2 linked regions of the Callithrix jacchus genome follow. The protein of the gene in region 1 binds, or shares a complex with, the protein of each later gene. Links are inferred from orthologs where the notes say so. Each region holds a gene or a part of one and is shown on either strand. Other genes may lie near its edges.

Evidence for each region. The genes of interacting proteins can lie anywhere in the genome.
Region 2: NCOA6 (region 1) and KDM6A share a complex: the UniProt entries of both Homo sapiens proteins name them as parts of the MLL2/3 complex. The link is inferred for Callithrix jacchus from reciprocal best matches to the Homo sapiens genes NCOA6 and KDM6A.

What each region holds. Positions count from the first base shown.
Region 1 is NC_133506.1:4,478,531-4,486,673, reverse strand, and holds the start of NCOA6 (nuclear receptor coactivator 6), read right to left. Parts: upstream 5,259-8,143; 5' UTR 5,064-5,258; intron 1-5,063. UniProt on the Homo sapiens protein: Nuclear receptor coactivator that directly binds nuclear receptors and stimulates the transcriptional activities in a hormone-dependent fashion. Coactivates expression in an agonist- and AF2-dependent manner.
Region 2 is NC_133524.1:45,984,646-45,992,227, reverse strand, and holds part of KDM6A (lysine-specific demethylase 6A), read right to left. Parts: intron 5,463-7,582; coding exon 4,684-5,462; intron 1-4,683. UniProt on the Homo sapiens protein: Histone demethylase that specifically demethylates 'Lys-27' of histone H3, thereby playing a central role in histone code. Demethylates trimethylated and dimethylated but not monomethylated H3 'Lys-27'.

The sequences.
Region 1 (8,143 bases):
AGGAGGTTGAGGCTGCAGTGAGCCAAGATTGCGACACTGCACTCCAGCCCCAGTGACAGAGCAAGACCCTGTTTCAAAGCAAAACAAAGAATAACTGCAAATCTTAAAGGAAAAGATTGATAAAGTTGACACTAAAATTCATAACTTTTTAACAAATGACACCTTAAAAGATTTTTTTTATAATAAAAAAATCTTTTTTTTTATTTAAAAAAGCAACAGGCTGGGCATGGTGGCTCATGCCTGTAATCCCAGCACTTTGGGAGGCCAAGACGGGCAGATCACTTGAGGTCAGGAGTTTGAGACCAGCCTGTCCAACACAGTAAGACCCCCATCGCTACTAAAAATACAAAAATCTGCCAGGTGTGGTGGCACATGCCTATAGTCCCAGCTACTTGGGAGGCTGAGGCAGGAGAATCACTTGAATGCAGGAGGCAGAGTAGATTACAGTGACCTGAGACGGCACAACTGTACCCCAGCCTGGGCGACAGAGCAAGACTCCATCTCAAAAAAAAAAAAAAAAAATTTTAAAAAATAAGCAAGAAACTGGGAAACGACATCTGTAATACATATCAACAACAAAGGATTAATAATCAGAATATATAAAGAAATCTTTTGTAAAAGACAACCCAGTAAGAAAAATGGCAAACCAAGTCCCAGCATTCTCTAATCTGTGTAAAGCTGGCATTACCACAGTTGCCACGCAGTACACTCCACAACAACAGACCTTGCCATCACTGACTGATATAAATATTCAGGGGTCTATGTTATGCTGCAGGTACACAGAGCATGGGGAATCAAGCCCAAAGGGCAGAGCCAAGACGTTTATTCATTCTCCATCGTATAGACATTGGATGGCAAATTAGAGGTTGATACCCAACATTCAGACACACAGATCAACCAAAAGAAAAAAAAAAAGACACATAGATCGGGGTTGGCAAATGTTTTTGTAAAGAGTATTTTCAGCTTTGTGAACCGACATAACACATCTCTGCCACAACTACTCAACTTTGCCATTGGTACCACAAAAGCAGATATGGACAATATTAGTAAACGAGTGTGGCTGTGTTCCAATAAAAATGTTATTTAAAAAAACAGATGGTGGGCCAGATTTGACCTATGAAACAGTTTGCTGACCCCTGCCTGACATGGACAGTTGTGCTTTTTCTACACTATAGGTAGGGTACTTCCCATGTTTTCCCCTGCCTTTTATGTCTGCTGACACTTACCTCTGATTTCCTTAACCAAAAACTACACCACACTTGACAGCTTTGCAGTGGTTTCCAAAACTCTTACTCTACCAAAAAAACCCTTTCACCCTTATTATCAATGAGAATTCTCCCCTCATTTTCCTTTCATTTAACCTCTTTGACAGCCATCAACCCAGAAAATCTAAACCAGAAATCTAAAAAAGTCACCCCTCTTACCACTCACAACGTCAATCATCAACACCTGAAAATTCTAACTCCATTCAATGCCCACAGCCTCTGCCTTAGTTCAGATCCTCTGTACTTGCCTGGTCTTCAGTCTACCCTCCTTCCAAAGATCATCCATGTATCTCCTAGAAATTAAAACTCCACTATATACTCCCCCTTTTGAAGATCTTGAATGCCTCTCTCAGCTGAGGATTCAGTCCAAACTCCTTAGCAAGGTCCTTCACAACCAGGCTCCTAACATGGGCTTCCTAGTCTCATCTCTGACCATGCTTTCACACACATCCTATGCTTCAGCCACATTCAATTAATGCATTCCCTGAAAACGTGTCTTTACCTGAAAAGCCCTTCTCTCCAATTCACTGGCAAACTCCTGTATCTTTCAGGACACATCTCAGATGTCACCCCTTCACAACACCTTGCCTGATACTTTGAGCAGAGACACACCCATCTGTGTCCTTATAGCATTTAATGACTCTTCTTTGGCATCGGCCAACCTGAGCTATGATTTTCACCTGTCTACTTCACTCATAGGGCTGCATACCCAAAGTGAAATGACTGCCGTAAAGACTTCTGAATCTACTGGAGCCCAGCATAATGCTTGATACGCAGTAGATGCCTTGAGGCACAGTAAATGTTTGTTGAATGGAAGACATGTCTGGTAGTAGGAGTTGGGTTTCTTAACCTGGGGGTTCACAGACCGGAATCTATAAATAGGACTTCAGTGAGGTTTGTGAACTTGGATAGAAAAAACAAAATTTCTTTTACTAACCTCTAACTGAAAATTACCATTCTATTCAAATATGACTGTAGGTAACATACCATTCTAGTATTAGGAGTATCTGTGACTCTGTAACAATAGAAATCTCAAATATCTTTATTTTTTTGAAACAGAGTCTTGCTCTGTCACCATGCACCAGGCTGGAGTGCAGTGGCACAATTTCAGCTCACTGCAACCTCCACTTCCCAGGTTCAAGCAATTCTCCTGCCTCAGCCTCCCGAGTAGCTGGGACTACAGGCACACACCTCCACACCCAGCTAATTTTTGTATTTTTAGTAGAGACGGGGTTTCACCATGTTGGCCAGGATGGTCTTGATCTCTTGGCCTTATGATCCACCCACCTCAGCCTCCCAAAGTGCTGGGATTATAGATGTGAGCAACCGTGCCCTGCCCTCAAATATCTTTATATTATACTACAGTTGTTGCATATAATCTTAAAGTACCCTTTAAGCGCATCATATCTTTGAAATTATAATTATCGGATCCATCACTAAATATGATTTCTTAATGTGCTGATAAACAAGTATATGCATATTAGATTTTTATAGTGTAGTAATTGTATTTCAATATAATTGGTGTTCCTTATAATCCAATGTATTTTATTTTATACAATTAAAAATATTATTCTGAAAGGGGTCCATGGCACAGATAAAGTCAGGTCTTCCAGCATTAGAAAAACCCAGAAAAGGCTCACACCATGGTGGCTCACGCCTGTTAATCCCAGCACTTTGGGAGGCCGAGATGGGCAGATCACTTGAGCTCAGGAGTTCAAGACCAGCCTGGGTAACACGGTAAAACCCCATCTCTACCAAAAAGAAAAAAAAAAACAAACCCAGAACAAATGAATTGTGTTACTGTATATACATATGATATTGACGATCTTATTTTATATATAACCCTTTTGTTCATTAATTCTCTTTGATTATATGGGGCCCTGGACCTATTTTTCATGACTGATTTGCATATTTCCTTCAGACCCATAGTCCATGCAAACTTTGAATTCTTCTCTCACAGGATCCAACTTCGATGAACACAATATAGACTCTGGGTCTCTACCATTGTTCACTTTTCTTTTTTAGGATTTTGTGTTCCTTTATGATAAACACCTAGAAGAGAAGGCATCTCTTTTTTTAAGACAGTATCTTGCTCTGTCGCCCAGGCTGGAATGTCATGGCATGATCACAGCATGGCTCATTGCAGCCTTGACCTCCCAGGCTCAAGCGATCCTCCCACCTCAGCCTCCTGAGTAGCTGGGACTACAGATACAAGCCACATCAGATGGCTAATTTTTTGGCCTTTTTTGTAGAGATGGGGTCTGCCAACTCCTGGGCTCAAGGAATCCTCCCACCTTGGCCTCCCAAAGGGCTGGGATTACAGGCATGCGCCACTGTGGCTGGCCGGAGCATCTCTAAAAACTCTAGAAAGTTAGAAAGTATCAAAGATAACTTCTTTGCACAATTAGAGACGAGCCAGGAAATACCAAGTAACTGTATTCCCTTCGGCCTTTGCATTGCCAAACTCATTACAGGAACAAAACAAATTTAATTGTTCTCTGGTATATACTGTTACGCTTCATTTCTTGTTGTTTTTGTTTGTTTGCTTCTAGTTTCATCACAAGAATGTTACGCTTCATTTCTTAACACCTTTCTCCCAACCAGCAAATTCCTTTAAGGAAATGTGTTTAAACCACTTCCAGTAGCCCCTCTGCCACTAACTTATAAGATCTTGAGAAGTCAACTTTACCTTTCTATGTTTCAGCTAAAATCACTACCTGAGTTGAAATCTTTACTTGATCTCTCAGGTCTTTGTAGTTTTTATACATTCACTCTTCACCATTTTACTGGCTTCAATAACGCCTTTCTGATGACCTCTCCAGGTGACCCTGCTCTTAAGCTGTGGGCTGTCCCATTCCAGGGAAGACACCTTGGGTCACCGCCCCCAAACAGGCGGGTTCCTCCTTTTAAAGACACACACAACTCCCAAAGTTGATGTAGGTTTTCTCCTTTCTTGCCAACCAGTTCTACTCTCTGTACCTCTTTTGCTGGCCAGCTTGCACCCAAACCTCAGTCCCCCTGTTCTCTCCTCATCAAACACCTTTTTCCTGTTGCTTCCCCCAATAGGGGGTGGAGGATCCTTGGGACAGAAGTCTTCAGAGCCTTGTGAGTTACACAGCTTTGCAATTCAGTTCCACTACCCCAAGGACTGCCCAATCTGATACCAGCGTCTGGATCCAAAGGGCCCTCATTTCTCATCAATCGCCTCCGTCCTTTCCCGCAAAGAACTGTTCCAGCCCTGACAGCCTGAGCCTGACCCCAAGCCTCCACCCCAATCCCCAGATCCTACCAGCACTAGGGCTCTCTATACACCGCCTAAGGCCTAACCCAGTTCCACGTCCTGCCATCCTTTCAGCCCTTGGACCCCAATCCCGGTTCCTTTCGGTCCCGGTGTTCCTTCTCGGCGACCCTGACTACGACCCCACGACCCCACGACCAGCTCCCGCCAGTTCCCCAGGCCTGAAGCGCCACCCCGTGCAGACCCCAGCCAGCCCTGCACTCCCTCAGTGCACCGGCCCCCGCGCCCAGCACCCTCCCCACCCCGCCGGGCCACCGCTCCCTCCAGCGCCCCCGCCCGCAGGCCTAGGGCCCGCTCCCCAACATGGCGACTGGGACACCAGCGCGGCGGGCGGGGCGGCTCCGGGCCGGGCCCACACTCGGACCGTGCAGCACGGTCGCCGGGCGCCATTTTCCCGCGCCGGGCCCGGGCGGCGCCTCCTCCCAGCAAAGCCAACCCGACCCGGACCGCGGACGCCCGGCGGGCCCACCCCTTACGGGCCCGCGCCGCCGTTGCCTCACCTGAGCGCGGCCCCGGCCCTCCCGGGCGGGCCTTGGAGCGCCGGCCCGGGCCGTGCGTGCCCGCCGCCCTCCGTGCGTTCGTCCGTCAGTCCTCGCGTGCGCCCGTCTGTCCGGCCACCCGCGCCCGGCCGCCCGCAGCCCGACCCGGCAGGGCCTCACGGAGCCGGCGGGGAGGGGGATGGGCCGGACCGGGCCGGGGAGGGAGGGGGAGGGAGGGAGAGAGGGAGGGAGCGCGAGAAGGGGCGGGGCGGACTCGAGGGGCGGGGCATCGCCCATGTGACCAGACGTTCCCGGGAGCGCGAGGTGGAGCGCGCGCCAGCTCGCTTCGGTGCTGAGTGCTTAGTGCGGGTGTATCGTGGGTCTCTGTCGACTTCCCAGGGCTGTTCTCCCGCCAGTGAGTCCCACTTCGGAAGCACACACGGCACAACGTTTTGCGAGCGCTCTGGCTAAGTACCCTTGGACGTGGCAACTCCAAGCCTCAGTTTACCTATTGAAATATGGAGAAATTCATAGTGCTTGTTGAAGAAGAAATGGCGGGGGGCATGGAAAGCACTTATCGCAGTGCCTGACACATACTGTCTAATAATAAGCTTAATGGGGATATAGATAGAAGCTTTCATTATTAGTTGCCTCCAAATCCCTCTCTTCTTTTTCCCATCATTACCTCCCTAGCAAGCGAAATGCTCAGTTAATAGAATTCTTGATCGAACAAGTGAGTGTGGCCCCTCCCCTCTTCCCAAATGTAGAAAGGCCTCCTCAGCACTGGACTTGATGTCTGTCATTCAGGCCTGCATTCATATCTGGCTTTCACTCTTTTTTTAAATTTTTTTGTTCTTTTTCCCACACTACACTGATGTATTTTTTTAATTTTTGTGAGTACGCAGTAGGTGTATATATTTATGGGGTATATAAGATTTTGATACAGGCATGCAATGCATAATAATCACATCATGGTAAATGGGGTAAATGGGGTATCTAGCACCTCAGCATTTTTTTTAAAAAAGATGGTGTTTCACCATGTTGGTCAGGCTGGTCTTGAACTCTCGACCTCAGGTTATCCACCCACCTCGGCCTCCCAGAGTGCTAGGATTACAGGCATGAGCCACCGTGCCTGGCCGCACCTCAGCATTTATCTTTGGTGTTACAACCCAGTTATATGCTAGTTATTTTAAAATGTGCAGGTAAATTGTTTTTTTACTATCATCACCTTCTTGTGCCGGCAAATACTATGTCTTATTCATCTTATTTTTTGTAACCATTAATCATTCCCATTTCCCAGCCACCTCCCACTAACCTTCCCAGCCTCTGGTAACCCTCCTTCTACTCTGTATCTCCATGAGTTCAATTGTTTGAATTTTTTGCTCCCATAAATAAGTGATCACATGGGAAGTTTGTCTCTCTGTGTCTGGCTTCTTTCATGTAACAAGGACCTCCAGTTACATCCATATTGTTGTAAATGGCATGATCTCATTCTTTTTTAATGGCGGAATAGTATTCTATTGTGCACATGTACATTTTATTTACCTATTCATCTGTTGATGGACACTTAGGTTGCTTCCAAATCTTGGCTATTGCGAACAGGGCTGCAGTAAACATGAGAGTGCAGATATCGCTTCCGTATACTGATTTCCTTTTTTTCTGGTGTATACCTAAGAGTAGGATTGCTGAATTGTATGGTAGCTCTATTTTGGCTTTTGCTCTTGATAGCTACCCTTCCCTCTCTGAACTTCAGCTTCTTCATCTGCAAAATAGGAGTTAGGGGGCTGTTCTGAGCATCACAGGAGATGGAGGATGAACAGGAGGATTGTAAACTAATTAAACAGGTCAGTCCTACTGGTCCCATTAAGGAAAGGGAGTCAGGAACCCTTTCATTCCATAAATATTTATTGAGTACATACTGTGTGCCTGGACTGGTGTAGTAGATACCCACCATCTTTTCACATCACCCTGACTGCCCTCTAATCTATTCTCCACGCTGCTGTCGCAATAATGTTTCTAATGATCAGAAATCTGATTATGTCACTACCCTACTTAAAAGTATCTGATGATGGCCAGGTGCAGTGGCTCACGCCTATAATCCCAGCACTTTGGGAGGCTAAGGCAAGTGGATTGCTTGAGCCCGGGAGTTTGAGACCACACTGGGCAACATGTCAAAATCCTGTCTCAACAAAAAATAGAAAAACGGCTGGACTCAGTGGCTCACACCTGTAATCCCAACACTTTGGGAGGCCAAGGTGGGTGGATCACCTCAGCTCAGAAGTTCGAGACTAGCCTGGGCAACATGGCGAAACCCCATCTCAACTAAAAGTACAAAAATTAGCTGGGCATGGTGGCACACACCTGTAGTCCCAACTATTTGGGAGGCTGAGGCATGCAGCCAGAATCACTTCAGCCGGGAGGTGGAGGCTTCAGTGAGCCGAGATCACACCACTGCTCTCCTGCCTGGGTGGCAAAGTGAGACCAAGTCTCAAAAAAAAAAAAAAAAAAAAAGACAAAAACAAAAATTAGTGGGCATGGTGGTGCACACCTGTGGCCCCAGCTACTCAGGAGGTTGAGGTGGGAAGATTGCTTGAGCCCAGGAGGTTGAGCTTGCAGTAAGCTGAGATGGTATCACTGTGCTCTAGCCTGGGCAATAGAGTGAAACCCTGTCTCAAAAAAAAAAAAAAAAAAAAAATCTGATGGCACTTCATTGTTCTTAAGATAAAGGCTAAATAAATGTTGTGCCCCTCACCTCTCTAGATTTATCCCCGGGCCCTCTTCCCCTTTCTCTGGGTTGGAACTACAGTGACATTTCTTACACATTGTTCTCCCTCCCTTCTAAGCACCCTTGCACATGCTGATCCCCCTGCCTCCAATGCTCTCCACACTTAAATAACTCATCAGCCTTCAGAATCCAGTGCAAACAGGGCTACTCCAAGGATACCTTCCCAGACAGGATCTCTTAACACCATGTACTTGTCCTTAATAGAAGGTACCAAGTCATTATTACCTGTCTTTGCCACTGGACTATGGAAGGAAACCTCATCCATTTTGTTTACTACTGTTTACTGAGCACGTAGCACAGTACCTGGCACAGAGTA
Region 2 (7,582 bases), on another chromosome or scaffold:
AAGGAAAGGAACAACCAGTACCAGCCATCCAAAAAACGTACCAAATGGTAAAGACAATCAATGCAATGAAGAAAATGTGTCAACTCAGAGGCAAAACATCCAGCTAGCATCAAAACAGCAGGATCAAATTCACACATAACAATATTAACCTTAAATGTAAACAGACTAAATGCCCCAATCAAAAGATACAGACTGGCAAATTAGATAAAAAGCCAAAACCCATCAGTATGCTGTATTCAGGAAACCCATCTCACGTGCAAGGGCACACTTGAGCTAAAAATAAAGGGATGGAGGAAGATTTATCAAACAAATGAGAGCAACAAAAAGCAGGAGTTCCAATCCTAGTCTCTGATAAAATGGACTTTAAACCAACAAAGATCAAAAGAGACAAAGAAGGGCACTACATAATGGTAAAATGATCAATGCATCAAGAAGAACTAATGATCCTAAATATATATGCACCCAATACAGGAGCACCCAGGTACATAGAGCAAGTTCTTAATGACCTACAAAGAGACTTAGACTCCCACACAATAATAGTGGGAGACTTTAACACTCCACTGTCAATATTAGACAGATTAACGAGACAAAATTAACAAGGATATCCAGAACTTGAACTCAGATCTGGAGCAAGTGGACAGACATCTACAGAACTCTCCACCCCAAATCCACAGAATATACAATCTTCTCAGCACCGCATAGTACCTACTCTAAAATTGACCACATAATTGGAAGTAAATCACTCTTCAGCAAATGCAAAAGAATGGAAATCATAACAAACAGTCTCTCAGACCACAGTGCAATCAAATTAGAACTCAGAATTAAGGAACTAACTCAGAACTACACAACTTCATAGAACCTGAACAACTGGCTTCTGAATGTCAACTGGATAAACAATGAAACGAAGGAAGAAATAAAGAACAATAAAGAACAAAGACACAACACACCAGAATCTCTGGGACACATTTAAAGCAGCGTCTATAAATTTATAGCAATAAATGCCCACCAGAGAAGCGAGGAAAGATCTAAAATAGACACCCTATCACCAAAACTGAAAGAGCTCGAGGAGCAAGATCAAAAAAACTCAAAAGCTAGCAGAAGACAAGTACAACTAAGATCAGAGCAGAACTGAAGGAGATAGAGACACAAAAAATCCTTCAAAAAGTCAATAAATCCAGGAGCTGGTTTTTTGAAAAGATCAACAAAATAGACCACTAGCCAGATTAATAAAGAAAAGGAAAAGGAGAAGAATCAAATAGATGCAATAAAATAGATAAAGGGGATATCACCACTGACTCCACAGAAATACAAATGACAATCAGAGATTACTACAAACAACTCTATGCACATAAACCAGTAAACCCGGAAGAAACTAATAAATTCCTAGACACTTGCACCCTCCCAAGCCTAAACCAGGAAGAAGTTGAAACCTTGAACAGACCAGTAACAAGGGCTGAAGTTGAGGCAGCAATTAATAGCCTACCAACCAAAAAAAGTCCAGGTCTAGATGGGTTCACAGCTGAATTCTACCAGACGTACAAAGACGAGCTGGTACCATTCCTTCTGAAACTATTCCAAACAGTACAAAAAGAGGGAATACTTCCCAAATCATTTTATGAAGCCAAAATCATCCTGATACCAAAACCCGGCGGAGACTCAGCAAGAAAAGAAAACTTCAGGCCAATATCTATGATGAACATAGATGCAAAAATCTTCAATAAAATACTGGCAAACCAAATACAACAGCACATAAAAAAACTTATCCATCACGATCAAGTAGGCTTCATCCCAGGGATGCAAGACTGGTTCAACATACACAAGCCTATAAACATAATTCACCACATAAACAGAACCAAAGACAAAAACCACATGATTATCTAAACAGATGCAGAGAAGGCCCTTGACAAAATTCAACAGCCCTTTATGCTAAAAACTCTCAATAAACTAGGTATTGATGGACTGTATCTCAAAATAATAAAAGCTATTTACAACAACCCTACAGCCAATATCATACTGAATGGGGAAAAACTGGAAGCATTCTCTTTGAAATCCGGCAGTAGACAAGGATACCCTCTGTCACCATTCCTATTCAATATAGTATTGGAAGTTCTAGGCAGAGCAATTAGGCAAGCAAAAAAATAAAGGGTATTCAATTAGGAAAAGAGGAAGTCAAATTGTCTCTATCTGCAGAAGACATGATTGTGTATTCAGAAGACCCCATCATCTCAGCCCAAAATCTCCTTAAACTGATAAGCAACTTCAGCAAAGTCTCAGGATACAAAATCAATGTGCAAAAATCACAAGCATTTCTATATACAATAACAGACTAACAGAGAGCCAAATCATGAGTGAAATCCCATTCACAATTGCTACAAAGAGAATAAAATACCTAGAAATACAACTAACAAGGGATGCAAAGGACCTCTTCGAGAACTACAAACCACTGCTCAACAAAATGAGAGAGGACACAAACAGATGGAAAAACATTCCATGCTCATGATTAGGAAGAATCAATATCGTGAAAATGGCCATACTGCTCAAAGTATTTTCTAGATTCAATGCTATCCCCATAAAGCTACCAATGACCTTCATCAAAGAACTGGATAAAACCACCTTAAACTTCATATGGAACCAAAAGAGAGCCCACATAGCCAAGACAATTCTAAGCAAAAAGAACAAAGGTGGAGGCATCATGCTACCTGATTTCAAACTATACTACAAAGCTACAGTAATCAAAACAGCATGGTACTGGTACCAAAACAGATATATAAACCAATGGAACAGAATAGAGACCTTGGAGGCAACACCACACATCTACAACCATCCGATCTTTGACAAACCTGACAAAAACAAGCAATGGGGAAAGGATTCCCTGTTTAATAAATGGTGTTAGGAAAACTGACTAGCAGTGCAGAAAGCTGAAACTGGACCCCTTCCTGACACCTTACACTAAAATTAACTTCAGATGGATTAAAGATTTAAACATAATACCTAACACCATAAAAACCCTAGAAGAAAACCTAGACAGGCCGGGCGCGGTGGCTCAAGACTGTAATCCCAGCACTTTGGGAGGCCAAGGTGGGTGGATCACGAGAGATCGAGACCATGCTGGTCAACATGGTGAAACCCCATCTCTACTAAAAATACAAAAAATTAGCTGGGCATGGTGGCACGTGCCTGTAATCCCAGCTACTCAGGAGGCTGAGGCAGGAGAATTGCCTGAACCCAGGAGGCGGAGGTTGCGGTGAGCCGGATCACGCCATTGCACTCCAGCCTGGGTAACAAGAGCGAAACTCCGTCTCAAAAAAAAAAAAAAAAAAAAAAAACCTAGACAAAACCATTCAGGACATAGGCAAGGACTTCATGACTAAAATACCAGAAGCATTGGCAATGAAAGCCAAAATAGACAAATAGGACCTAATTAACCTCCAGAGCTTCTGTACAGCAAAAGGAACAATCATTAGAGTGAACTGGCAACCAACAGAATAGGAAAAAATTTTTGCAATCCACCTATCTGACAAAGGGCTAATATACAGAATCTACAAAGAAATAAAACAGATTTACAAGAAAAAAACAAACCCATCCAAAAGTGGGAGGAGGATATGAACAGATATTTTTCAAAAGAAGACATTTGAGGCCAACAAACATATGAAAAAATGCTCATCATCACTGAGTATTAGAGAAACGCAAATTAAAACCACATTGAGATACCACTTCACGCCAGTTAGAATAGCAATCATTAAAAAAATCTGGAGACAACAGATGCTGGAGAGGATGTGGAGAAATAGGAACACTTTTACACTGTTGGTGGGAATGTAAACTAGTTCAACCATTGTGGAAGACAGTGTGGCGCTTCCTCAGGGACCTAGAAATACAAATTCCATTTGATCCAGCAATCCCATTACTGGGTATATATCCAAAGGATTACAAATCATTCTATTATAAAGACACATGCACACATATGTTCATAGTAGCACTGTTTACAATAGCAAAGACCTGGAACCAACCCAAATGCCCACTGATGATAGACTAGACAAGGAAAATGTGGCACATATACACCATGGAATACTATGCAGCCATAAAAAACGATGAGTTTGTGTCCTCTGTAGGGACATGGATGAATCTGGAAACCTAATTCTCAGCAAACTGACACAAAAACAAAAAAAAATCAAACACCACATGTTCTCACTCATAGGCAGGTGATGAACAATGAGAACACATGGACACAGGGAGGGGAGCATCACACACTGGGGGGTCTGTTGGGGGTAGGGCCAAGGGAGGGACAGCGAGATGTGGGGGAGGTCAGGGAGGGATAACATGGGGAGAAATGCCATATGTAGGTGACGGGGGCATGAAGGCAGCAAACCACATTGCCATGTGTGTACCTATGCAACAATCCTGCATGATCTGCACATGTACCCCAGAACCTAAAGTACAATTTAAAAAAAAAAGGGGGTTAAAAAAAAAAAAAAGCAATTTACAGGATTACTTCTCAAATCTGATACATCAATTTGACCTCAACATCTAAGCATATCAAGGCTTCTGTCAAACTCTTACTTTAGATGAATGACTACAGCATGTTTTGCTTACTTTCCATAGCTTAAAAGATCCAAATTATGTTTCAGCATTCTTATCATGCCAGTAAGTCAAGCATTTTCACTTGACGAACTTTTGCACACTAACCTGCATGCCTTCAGAACTTCTGCTGAGCTGGGATATATGGACACAGACACTGATGGTATGATCTGAGGACTAGGTTTGTGGTTAACTAGAAGTAGATCTGTTTTCATGGGGCTCTGAGATTCTTCCATCCCTTCTCCATTAATTGTGTGTAGCCCACTGTGAGGGCTGTTAAGGCTGGTAACACTGTTTGTGGTTGTCTGCTCAGTGGATTTTGGAGAAGGTGTTGCTGTGGAAATGGCTGAAGATGGTGAAGAGGCAACAGAGTTATCAGTCTTTGTATGAACAGCTGGGTGGATGTTATTGACTTTGTCACAGGTTCCAGTACCCACATTGTTATTGGCTTTTCCCATCAACAAGGCAGAGAGCTGAGGATTGTCTGAACTTAGTAAACCTGGTGACTTAGAATCTCCATGGCTAGGACTGCAAACAGCATCTGCCGTCATCTGGTGGACATGATTAGGAAGTCCCTCGACACTGGCAGTGCTGTTAGGTGTCTCTCCAGCGTGCCTGCTTGTTTCAGGCACCGTCAACATGTTTCCTGAAGGCTTGCTCTCTTTGGTTAAGGTAATGCCTTGTTGTCCACCTGAGGTAGCAGTGTGAGAGGAGAGGTGATTGAGAGCAGCCCCCTGTGTTACTGAATTGCTAGGCAGGGTGGGATGTCCATTCTGATTCTGAATACCAGAGCCAGCTGCCTGGAGATGCTGGGAAGGCCCAGTGGAAGAGAGAGGTCGTTCACCATTAGGACCTGCCGAATGTGAACTCTGACCTTTGTGAAGCCCCTAAAATGAAAGAAAAAATAGTTTAAATCTAACATTAAGCAAACTCAGAGGGCATATATAGATTTAAAACATTAAAAAGAAAAGCCACTAAAAGTAAATATCTAACTATATAAGATAATTTGACCCAAGTCCTAAAAAGTTATCAAAAAGTACCTGTAATTTAGCTAATCAGTATTTAACATCTTTAGAGAAATTTTCCTTCCTTACTATCTAAAATGACTCCAATATTAGTGTAGAATAAACTACTTCAGATGAAGAATTACAAATTTTAAGTTTCAATATACATATTTTCATCTCTAAAAGCAGACATGGATAGACATTACAGATAGATCATTAATATTTAAAAGCCAATGACCACGGATCAACATAAACCAATTCTCATCAGTCTGTGATCTGTTAAAAGATTAAGATAGAAAGTGAGTTCATTAAAGCTTGAAAATTATCATTAACATATAATCTTCGGTAATTCAAATACTATTGTTAAAACAGCTATCCTCAAAATTAAGGACTGAACTATTAAATCTATGAAAATATTTAAAAAATACCTAAAGTTTCCCCATTTATCCATCCACACATTTTTAAAAGACTAGACAGGCTTGGTGTAGTGGCTCATGTCTGTAATTCTAGCACTTTGGAAGGCCAAAGCAGAAGGATCACTTGCGGCCAGGAGTTTGAGACCAGGCTGGGCAACACAATGAGACTCCGTCTCCACAAAGAAAAAGAAAAGGATAAAGAGGGAAGGGGAAAGAGGAAAGGAAAGGTGGCAGACAAGCTAGGTGTGGTGGTAAGTTTGCCTGTAGTCCAGCCACATAGCAGGCTGAGGTGGGAGGATCTCTGGAGCCCAGGAGTTTGAGGATGCAGTGAGCTAGGATAGTGCCACTGCACTCCAGCCTGGGTGACAGGGCAGAACCTTGTCATTTATTATCATTTTTTTTAAAAGGGGGGAGGTGGGGAACATTCTAAGTCTCCACTAATGACTTTGAGGTAAACTTCATTTTTCATCAACTTAATTTGAAAAATTAGAAAAATATACTGCTACTGTTAAAGCAATCTGAGGGAGCAGTATACTAACAGCCAATAGAAGTTTTAAGACCAGAGGAAGATCACTTAGGGCATTTAATGGAATAAAAATATGATAAATAGAACTAAGATGTATAATTTTTACCTGAAATTTGCCTCTGGTGTCACAGAGAAACTTCTTTAAGAAGAATATTTTCATTTCATTTTACTGACAAAATAATTAAATAGGATAGCCAATTTTTCAGCAACACTGATTAAAGTAACATTGGAATCATAAAACAATGATTTAATAGTTTCCAAATCATTATAATTTAAGATCAAACCTAGTAACATGTATGGGATTTACAAGATTATCGTAATTATATATTAACATATTTTATCTTATATTCCCAATAATAAATAGACCTCCATCTCCAGAAAAAATTTTAAAGCTGTTGCATTTTGAGTTGATTACTTCAGCAACAAGGTTAGAGAAATTTAATTTGTCATTAATAAGCCATAAAGGAATAAAAATATAGCTGATGACAAGATATTTATATATGAAAGGGTGCATTTAATCATCTAGTTAAAATCAGCTAGCACGCCCCTAAAACCAGTTTCTGAAGCTGAAAATTTTAAATCAATGCTTTTACTCAATAGGCTTATCTACCTAAAAAACTACATACATTATTGGCCAGGCACAATGGTTCACGCCTGTAATCCTAGCACTTTTGGAGGCCAAGGCAGGCGGATCACCTGAAGTTAGGAATTCGAGACCAGCCTGGCCAACATGGTAAACCCCCGTCTCTACTAAAATGGAAAAATTAGCTGGGCATGGTGGTAGGCACCTGTAATCCCAGCTACTTGGGAGGCTGAGGCAGGAGAATCTCTTTAACTCAGGAGGCAGAGGTTGCAGTGAGCCAAAAATCACACCACTGTACTTGAGACTAGGTGACAGAGCCAGACTCTGTCTCAAAAAGAAAAGTTGATATACATCAATGAGTGTGTTAAGGAGTGCAATTAGTTGTAAATGATTTAATAAGTAACAAAGTCCAATCATAATAAAGGAAGGTTAAAATTTGTAAGTTACATGAAAATTTCTCATAATGTAAAAATACTGC